Oryzias latipes: one gene and its partners. The protein of the gene in region 2 binds, or shares a complex with, the protein of the main gene of each other region. Links are inferred from orthologs where the notes say so. Each region holds a gene or a part of one and is shown on either strand. Other genes may lie near its edges.

Evidence for each region. Proteins that work in one complex are often made in the same cells at the same time.
Region 1: the proteins of rev1 (region 2) and pold3 are in contact, whole or in part, in an NMR structure (PDB 2N1G), measured with the Homo sapiens proteins. The link is inferred for Oryzias latipes from reciprocal best matches to the Homo sapiens genes REV1 and POLD3. Residues at the interface, in NP_057400.1 of Homo sapiens: Asn1158, Leu1159, Ala1160, Gly1161, Leu1171, Leu1172, Glu1174, Trp1175, Ile1179, Met1183, Glu1184, Glu1185, Asp1186, Gln1189, Val1190; in NP_006582.1 of Homo sapiens: Gly232, Asn233, Met234, Met235, Ser236, Asn237, Phe238, Phe239, Gly240, Ala242, Ala243, Met244.
Region 3: the proteins of rev1 (region 2) and polk are in contact, whole or in part, in an NMR structure (PDB 2LSI), measured with the Homo sapiens proteins. The link is inferred for Oryzias latipes from reciprocal best matches to the Homo sapiens genes REV1 and POLK. Residues at the interface, in NP_057400.1 of Homo sapiens: Asn1158, Leu1159, Ala1160, Gly1161, Ala1162, Asp1167, Leu1171, Leu1172, Glu1174, Trp1175, Thr1178, Ile1179, Met1183, Glu1185, Asp1186, Gln1189, Val1190; in NP_001374042.1 of Homo sapiens: Lys564, Lys565, Ser566, Phe567, Phe568, Asp569, Lys571, Arg572, Arg575.

Annotation. Positions count from the first base shown.
Region 1 is NC_019875.2:1,859,013-1,861,868, forward strand, and holds the end of pold3 (DNA polymerase delta subunit 3), read right to left. Parts: coding exon 2,832-2,856; intron 2,636-2,831; coding exon 2,494-2,635; intron 2,412-2,493; coding exon 2,308-2,411; intron 1,424-2,307; coding exon 1,338-1,423; intron 1,265-1,337; coding exon 1,186-1,264; intron 898-1,185; coding exon 692-897; 3' UTR 521-691; downstream 1-520. UniProt on the Homo sapiens protein: Accessory component of both the DNA polymerase delta complex and the DNA polymerase zeta complex.
Region 2 is NC_019879.2:9,999,032-10,002,608, reverse strand, and holds part of rev1 (DNA repair protein REV1), read right to left. Parts: intron 3,133-3,577; coding exon 3,006-3,132; intron 2,938-3,005; coding exon 2,809-2,937; intron 2,725-2,808; coding exon 2,570-2,724; intron 2,480-2,569; coding exon 2,360-2,479; intron 2,252-2,359; coding exon 2,031-2,251; intron 1,945-2,030; coding exon 1,772-1,944; intron 730-1,771; coding exon 515-729; intron 431-514; coding exon 264-430; intron 180-263; coding exon 1-179. UniProt on the Homo sapiens protein: Deoxycytidyl transferase involved in DNA repair. Transfers a dCMP residue from dCTP to the 3'-end of a DNA primer in a template-dependent reaction.
Region 3 is NC_019867.2:13,993,156-13,995,399, reverse strand, and holds the end of polk (DNA polymerase kappa), read right to left. Parts: coding exon 1,861-2,244; intron 1,346-1,860; coding exon 1,297-1,345; intron 1,218-1,296; coding exon 1,136-1,217; 3' UTR 521-1,135; downstream 1-520. UniProt on the Homo sapiens protein: DNA polymerase specifically involved in DNA repair. Plays an important role in translesion synthesis, where the normal high-fidelity DNA polymerases cannot proceed and DNA synthesis stalls.

The DNA.
Region 1 (2,856 bases), on a different chromosome or scaffold from region 2:
TATGAACCGAGTCCACCTCAGACCAGGTCCTATTGAAAAACCTCTGGACCTAGACTGCTTAAACCTGGATTCAATTTTGATTTAGATAGTAAAAAATACATTAAACAGTTTCTGATTTGTGAAACCTTTACCTGATTTGTGAAAATGTGAAATGGTATCATAAAAGCGTAAAACGTGATAAAAATCATCCTAAATTTAATAAAGGTCATTTTTTTTCTATACTTTTAGAAGATGACAGCGCCGTGACCTTGGAGGAGGTGTTCACGTTAGCTGCAGGTGTGCCACGTGTTCCTCCTGCTGGTATGAGTCCTCTGCTTCACTTCCCATCTTCAACATCAAGATTACTGTTTTAAAAACCAGTAACACCGGGGCTACAAATGACCCTGTCTGTCTCCCAGGTTTGATTTTCAAAAGTGTGTGAATGAACCAAAAGTCCTCCTGTCTGACTGGTCCACAGCACAGGAACCGTTTGTAAAGTTCTCTACTTTCTAATGTGGATTAAAAATAAGAAGACGCATGCTCACACAATATTTTCAGAGTTTATTGATTATCCCGTGTGTTTACAGCAGGAGACAGAAAGGATATAAAAATGGTTTTCCAGGCTTTGTTTTGTTTTTCAAACTGTCCATGTGTGAGCAGTGAGTCCACACCAACAAAACTGACCTCCTCCAGCGGATCTGGGCAAATGTTCTCACTTCTTCTGAAAAAATCCCATAATAGAAGCTTGTTTTCCTCCTTTGTTGGAGTTGGCCGGAGCTTTTTTCTGAATTTTCTTGTCGTCCTCTTTGCTCCCCGGGTTTGGTTTGGCCTTAAACGGCGCCGTCTGAGCCGCTTTGGGGGCTTGGAAATCCTCCTCGGATTCAGAGTACGATTCACTCTCAAAGCCTTTTTCTGTGACTGTAAAAAAAAAGAAAAAATATTCAGTAAAAAAATCTATGGCGTTTAAAAGGTTTAAAACTGTGTTTGTCATTTTTAATGAACCTTAAAATCATTTAGACAATACAAATGAAGAATTTACTTTGAGGACTCATATCTGAGCTTTGGAAAAGAAAACTTTCACCTTTGAACTATGAAGACAATAAAAGATGATGGAAAAAAAATGTGTGTTGAATTTGCAAAGAATTATAAAGTCATATTTCTGAGGAAACTGTGATTATAATAGTAATAATGATTGCTTTTTCATACCCATACACCCATCAGCGTCCAGATATGTGCGAGACTTCAGGACCCGTCTCCTCTTCCTCACCTTCGCCCCAGAGTGACCCTGCAATATAAAGGTTCATTTATATGAACCTAAGCAACTCATCATTTGAATTTTAAACTAAGAAGTCACTCACATTTGACGGCTGAACAGTTTCCGTTTCTTTTTTAGGACTTCTCTCTCTAGTTAGAGTCTCTTGGGGCTGTGGGGAATCCGGAACGACTGTAAATAAAACAGAAACAGAAACAGAGCCCAGGTTTTAGAAAAAAATTAACTAGAAGTTTATACAAGGTGCTATTTTCTTAAAGGACCTAAACATTCAAAGAGCAAATAAATGACACCTGAAATGGATAAACAGACACCAAAATGAAGTTACATTGATCAGCTGAGATCACAACTCGACTGACTGGAGGAGTTTTTCCAGAACAGGTTAAAAAGTCTCAGATTTGAAAGAGTTGAGAAAACCTGTCAGTTTTTAACTTTCACTGAAATTCAAAGGAGTATTTTGGCCATGAAAGACAAAAAAACATACATGAGAATAAACTCATAAAAGTATGAGAAAAGAAGGAATATTCACAAAAATAGGGTTGTAAAATTATGAAGAAAAGAAAAAGGAAAACGGCAGACCTTGGTTGTGTAAGCCTGAATCCACATTACGTGACTAAATGCAGACGTTCATGGTGATGCCATAAGGCTTAAACATTGGTATCTAGGTGCCACAATCCGCTTGGACCTCTGCAAACACTGCCACAGCCAAATCCACTCCTTTTGGGTCAGAATCTTTCAGGGTCCTGGAAATTCTTTTCAATATCCTTCTAATAAAACAATATTGACTGGACTTAACATTTCCTTATTTGTGAAACCAAAAGTGGTAGTACCCACTTACGTAATATTAGCACTTTTCCTCATTATTTCACGATTACTATTGTAAAATTGCACATTTTTCCCATAATTTCACAACTTTATTCTCATAAATGTTATCTCTCCGTTTTAACAATAAACTGAAAAGAGAAAAATGTCAGTTTTCTCTGACAAACTGAGAATCTTCATTTAATTATTCCTCATTTCTCAGCATAAACTGATCAATCAAAAGAGCATTAAAAGACCTTCTTCATCACTGCTGTCTGGTTCTGGTTTCTTAATCCTCCGCCTCTTCTTCTTGTCCATCTTGTCCTCTTCACTGTCTTCGTCTTCCGCTCTCTTGGTTTTGCTGTGGAGGGAATAAGGCAGCACATTCCCATCAAGCAAAAGGAAAAGCTGGAGTGTTTTTTGCAGGTCAGGGGTAAACACACCTTCTGGGGTCTTTTTGGGTCTGCACTGCTGCACCGTCAAACTTTTCACAGGGTTGAGGACTTTTACGCTGCGGCGGCGGCGGCGGCTCAGATGTGGAAGACGTCTGATCTGCTTCCTCCTTCACGGCTTTGACTGATTTTTCTGTCGAAATGAAGAACCTTTAGTCTAAAAATGCCATTTCCTGTGTGAACATGAGCAGCGTTTGGTGAACCTCAACTTGAGGTAAAGACTAAGAAGATTTAAATGCAAGATATGGAATTTTCTGATGTCGACACACTAAACGGAAGCTGGAAATAGGATTTGGTTAGTAATAAACTGTATTGATGATGGAACTGACTTGCTGTTTGACTCCCAAAGAAGTT
Region 2 (3,577 bases):
GTTCCAGCAGGTGGACTGGACAGTGCTGGACGAGGAGGGGAAGCTTGGCGGGGGTGTGGCGAAGACTGCTGCAGAGCAGGTGAATGGCATTTATTTGGTATTCCATCTCTCTTGGTCCACGACTGCTCTACTTGTTCTCTCAATTCTGGGGGAAGAGCTTCCAGCACAGAACGATCCACCTTAGAGTGATATCATTAAAAAAAACACTGAGGGTTAAAAACTTTAAGGGTGCCACCAAACAGCAAGTATTGTCTGAGATGTACCTGGGAAGGCGAGGGAACTTCAATGGTGATGCTGAGACGTGTGCGTGAATGTTTGGGTGTCTTCCTGCAGGTCGGCTGTTCTTTGCTTGTTCCTGGAACCGGCTCAGCAGGAGACGAGATAAGCGAAGAGGTGCTAGCTGATGGAGTGGACTGTTCCTTACAATAATCTGCAACATTCCAGACAAAAATACTTTAGATTTTGCTTGTCTTTCAAAGCAACAATAAAAAGTGTACAAACAAATTAAACTAACTGTTCTTATTGGATCTGATGGTCAACATCTCCTTAATGGAGCATGACCGAGGACCCCGACCGTCCGGTGGAAGATGCCGATTTCCTTCGAGAAGTTGCACCTGAATGCCAATTCCTCTTAAGTCCTGCACCTGCAGCTGCATGGCGTGGAGTAGCTTGATGACTGCGGATGCGATCAGCTGTCCACTGTCAGTGGGCTGAGTGAGCATGACAGTTCTAAAATGAAGTAAATGGATGGGGAAAATAATGAGGAGAAAGTTGTTTCCATGTGTACTCAACAACAGTAGTCCCCAACCAGCAGTGGTACAGAAATTGGGATTATTTCTGTCTTATTTTCAAAAACTATCAGATTCTGTCCGTTTATGACTTACTCTTGACGCATGTCAAGTCCTTCACCTCAGTCAGATGTCTTAAAAACATCTGCTACCTTTTTAAAGGGGCTGCTTCGACGGCTAAATCAAGGACCCAAAGCTAGAAAATCAAATTAAAAAAATAAAACAAATGTTTTTGTAAAGTTTCTTTAGGGGGAAAGGAGCCATTGAAGAAATGGAGAAAAAATTTCCAACTACAACCACACCAGGCATGTAATACTCATTCTTGAATGCGCATGTTTCTGCAAGCATCATATAAAAACACGGACTGCAGTGCTTGTAGCGGGCTCGATTATTTATGAATCCACTGTCTTCTGAAGATAAAAACGTTGATGAGTTATTAAAAAAATACATTAAAAACATTTTTTTTGACAAAAATTGTTCCGACGCAATGCATTGTGGTCCATCAATCTAGTGAACATCGATGCAGACTGGTTTTGCGATTTGGGAATTTTACACTACAAAATGGCGAGCGCACTATATAGAGCAGTGTATAGGGTTAGGGTGGGAATTTGGACATAGCCCGAATCCTGAATTGAATTCTCCGTGTTAAAAGTAGCATTCTATTAAAAAAAATGTAATTTTGTCTTTATAGAATTTTTACAAATCATAAACAACTTCTTCAAATCAACAACTTTGTTTTGTTGGATCTTCATCATCTGTAAAATGTCTCCAGACAGTTTTAAATAGTCTTTTTAAACTAAATTTTACGGAGTAGCGTTTTCATTTGAAAAATACATTTTTCAGAAAGCTTCAAAAACTTAAACGCAAACTTCAGCCCCGTTTGGACCAGTCCATGAAAATACTGTCTGTCATTAAACCAGTTCATGGCCTAAAAATAGTTGGGGACCACCGGTCTACAAAGAAAACTGTGGTATATTTCCTACCTGGCTAAGTTATCACAAATGCCATGACCACCATATTTGGCTGACTCTAGCGGTGCTCCAACCTTGCGAACCATGACTTTGAGCGTCACCCTGCGACCCCGCAGTCCTGCTTCCCGTAAACGTTTTTGCACCTCCATGGATAAATTTGACAGGAAACTCTCTGCCTCTTCAACCTATTGATTTAAAACAAGAGAGACTTTTAGAAAACACAAAGTAAAAAAAAAACAGACTTCAACTGGGGAAAAAGAAAAGTCTCAACCTTTGTAAAGCGAATGTTATAGTTCATCTCGGCGGAAACAGATTTTCTTTCCTTCTCGCAGCGGACGGGACGGTCATCTAAACCCCTACAGAAGCGAAACAGGGTTTGTCCTGTTCGGGGGCCAAACATCCTCTGCAGCTGAGACAAAGACACCTGCTGGAGGTCCCCACAGGTAGTCACACCCAAAGTAGCCAGCTTTTTGCCCATAACATGCCCCACCCCTAAAAAGAAAAAACACAAAAAAGATATTTATTTATTCAAATTGTAACACAAACAGGTGCAGATTGTAAAATAATGTCTGTGGCCAGCAGGGGGTGCTGTGTAACTACCTGGTAATCTGGTCACAGGCAGATCTCTGATAAAATCATCCACCTCTTCAGACTTTAGGAAGTACTGCCCGTTTGGCTTAGCCTTGCGAGTTGCCAACCGAGCCAAAAGTATGTTGGACCCTGAGCATAACAGATTAGTTTTTTTGAATTATACCATATGACCACAGCCAATTATGTCTTATTAAAAACCGCGAGGCAAACATGGCTCACCCATGCCCACTGATGCACTGCATCCAGTTTTCTCCTTGATGTCTGCTCTGATGGCCTGGGCCAAATCATCAGGGCTAATTCCCAATTCAGCAAGCAGGGCAGAGCCATCTATCAATGCTTCATCACAGCTGAGGGCTTCAATGTCACGTGTGTAACTGTGGAGGGCCAAAAAGCAGAATTTAGGGGTTTTTATGTTACACAAACAAAGCAGGGATAGACAGAATTCAGCTCCCTCTCACCTTGCCAGAATCTCATACATGTTAATAGCCACCTCTTTATAGGCTTCAAAATCATAGGGGACGGACTGCAGAGAGGGGCACAGCTGCTTCGCCTTGCCAAAAAACATCCCGTTCCTCACGCCCGCCTGCCTGTGGAGCAAAGATCGTCACACACCCCCGTCCACGCACAGCCATTGAAGTTTGTTATAACGTTTTACCTAGCCTCATAACTGCAGGAAGCTATCTCTGCCATTGAGAGTGCAGCAGAATCCAGATTCACTCCGTTGGCATACGAGTCCGGACTATCTTGGGATGGGGATGTGTGTAAAAGATCCCCTTCTTTCTCTATAAAAGAAAAAACCTCTGTGTTTCATTGCTTAGATAATGTTTTTCCTATCATCATCAGAAAATTCAACACAATACGAGTTGATTTAATCCTATATTTAAAAAAAAATAGCATTAGGAGAACAGTTGACAAAATGTCCCTGTATGTTAGTCAGGCTCAGTTCACCACCACGATGAACCAAAAAAACAAAAAGAAACTGACTTCTGGATTTGAAGCTCATTTGAAAGCAAAAGGAACTGGAGACAGTTCATCAAGTGACCACTAGAGGAATGTTTTTCCAATGTAAAATATTTCTAGACTTGGAACATTTTTTGGTTCAAATTTAGAAACAACAGATATAAAAATGTAATACAAAAAGTTAACATTTTTATTCCATTTAGCTTTGAAGGCAAACTTATTCACAGAGTGTTTTATTTTGATTGCTTGATGGCCATCATTCACCAT
Region 3 (2,244 bases), on a different chromosome or scaffold from region 2:
TTATTTTTTATTTTTACCAAAGTCCCTGTCAAAGTTTTCACACCGTTTATTCCCAGTTAGCTTGTCGTAGATAGCATGTCTCGTCTGATAGTGCCTCTTCATGATGAATGGGAAAATGTAATTTGGCTAACCACAATGAAGAACTATCCAAACAGTTTTTATAAAGTGCTGGGGGGCCGCATTTTATTGATTTTATGAAAGATTTTATGGAAATTTGAACACGGGCCAGACTTAGAACATGTCTGCTCTAAATTCTCCCTTGGTGTGAATGTGAGTGTAAGGTTGCGTGGTCCTGCATTGGACTGGCAACTCATCAAGAGTGTGCCCTGCCTCTGCCCAACTGTGTCTGGGATAGGCTCCAGCATCCCTCTGACCTCAAAGGGGATTACCGGTAAGTGAATTTGGTAAATGTCCTGAATTGACAATTAAGTTTCAGGTTGTGTTTTGAAATGTATCTTCTGTGTGTGAGAGCTCCAGCATACAACCACACAGTTTGAAGAAATTGAAAAAATATCAACAGTTTAAAAAAAGTATGATTTATTATAAAAACAATGTATACAAATTACTCCATTTTAAACAGAAGTATTGAATTTAGTTTTTATGGGGGCATTACTTGAAGAGTAATATTTGGACCACTTATCCAAAATGATTGCAGAATTAGATAAATGATAACAATTCAGCCCACATGATCAAGATGAGGAGGAAACATGGTGCAGAGTTAAAAAGAGACAAGAATGTTTATGCAGAATATCTATAAAATAAATTATGAAAGCAGTCTATCCATGATAAAACTAATTTAGCATTTTTATTAAACAAAATATATTATTGTTTATATAAGAGATAAATATTAATTTCCCAAATAATTTTACTTTCATCAAACAGCATTGGCTTTATAAAATTAGCAAATAAAAACGAGGCATTAAAAGGTGACATTATCAATAAATATTATTCTGTTTACTTAAAATGTTATGAGCTCCACGTCTTTAATGTTACGTTTGGCTTAAGTATGGTTTAAAAGGTGCTTCGCCTCAGCCCATGGATGTGTTCGTTTGAGCTGGTGAGTCCATGTGCGTCCAGGATTCGGCTGGCTCTAAACTTCACCCAAACAGGAAGTGGCGCTCTGCATGGCTGAGTGTCACCTGAGGAACTTGTCGATGGTGTTGCAAAGGCCGAGGCTCCTCGACTTTTTAGAGGGAAGAGAGGAGGGTGAGCCTCGTCTAAGAGAAAAGAAAGCAGAAATAATTAATTTACTACCGTAATTGCTAATAATAGGAGACGTGTATTAACATTTCTCACCTTTTGCTTTTGACTTTGCCTGCTTGCATTGGTGGGAGATTTGTACTGGCTACAAACAGAAACAAACACCAGTGATGCAGAGTTTAACAAAAAAAAACATTTTCCCTGAAAATACAGAAGGAAACACAGCTGCAGCACCTCTATAGAACAATAAAGACTGCTGTTTTTAGGCACAGCTTTGTTAAGGGTGAACCCAGGCTTCAGTTTATTGTCGGGAAATAAAAAGGTGGGAGGGGGATTTAGCCGTTTCCAAGGTGGAGGGGCCAAGGAGGCTTCATGGGGTGAAATGAGATGTCTTTTGTCAGTCTGAATCAATACAAACCTCTCACACAATGTCAATAGCAGTAAAAACCAAGGTCATAAGGCCGCTGACAATCCACCAAGCGGCCAGACAGAAGCTCCGGAACGCATAGGAGCATTTTCCAGGTAAACAAAAACGCACTTTAAAAACATTGACTTCTTTTTGAAACCAGAGTTGAATGGATAAAGAGATTTTGGCCACAAACCAGCAACTGAATTAATGTAAAAACGCAAAAAGAAATAGAAGTAATTACGGGCTCTTACCTATGTTTTTGCTATTCTTAACTACAGATGGATTCTGGGAAAATGTCGTCTGTCCTTTGAGCTCATGCAGGACCTCCTGGTTCAGGCAGAGGTCAACATGGCGATTGAAGACGGCGAGGTCGTCCGTCTCTTGGGTCAGGTGACACACTGGGCAAACAAGGTCGGAACGCTTCCCTTGACACTTCTGCGAGGTTGTGGGTTTGCTGTCGCTTTGGGTCAGGAAAACCTTTTGAATCGAGCCGCCGTGTTGGCCCCCCCGTGGGCAAACTCTGCTGGACTCTTTGCTGCCGAAGGGCTGCTCCTCTTCAGCCTCACTCCGCTCTTTCCGTTTGTTCAGCTCTTTGCATTCTTGGTCTTGGAGGCATTTCTCTTCATCATAAACAG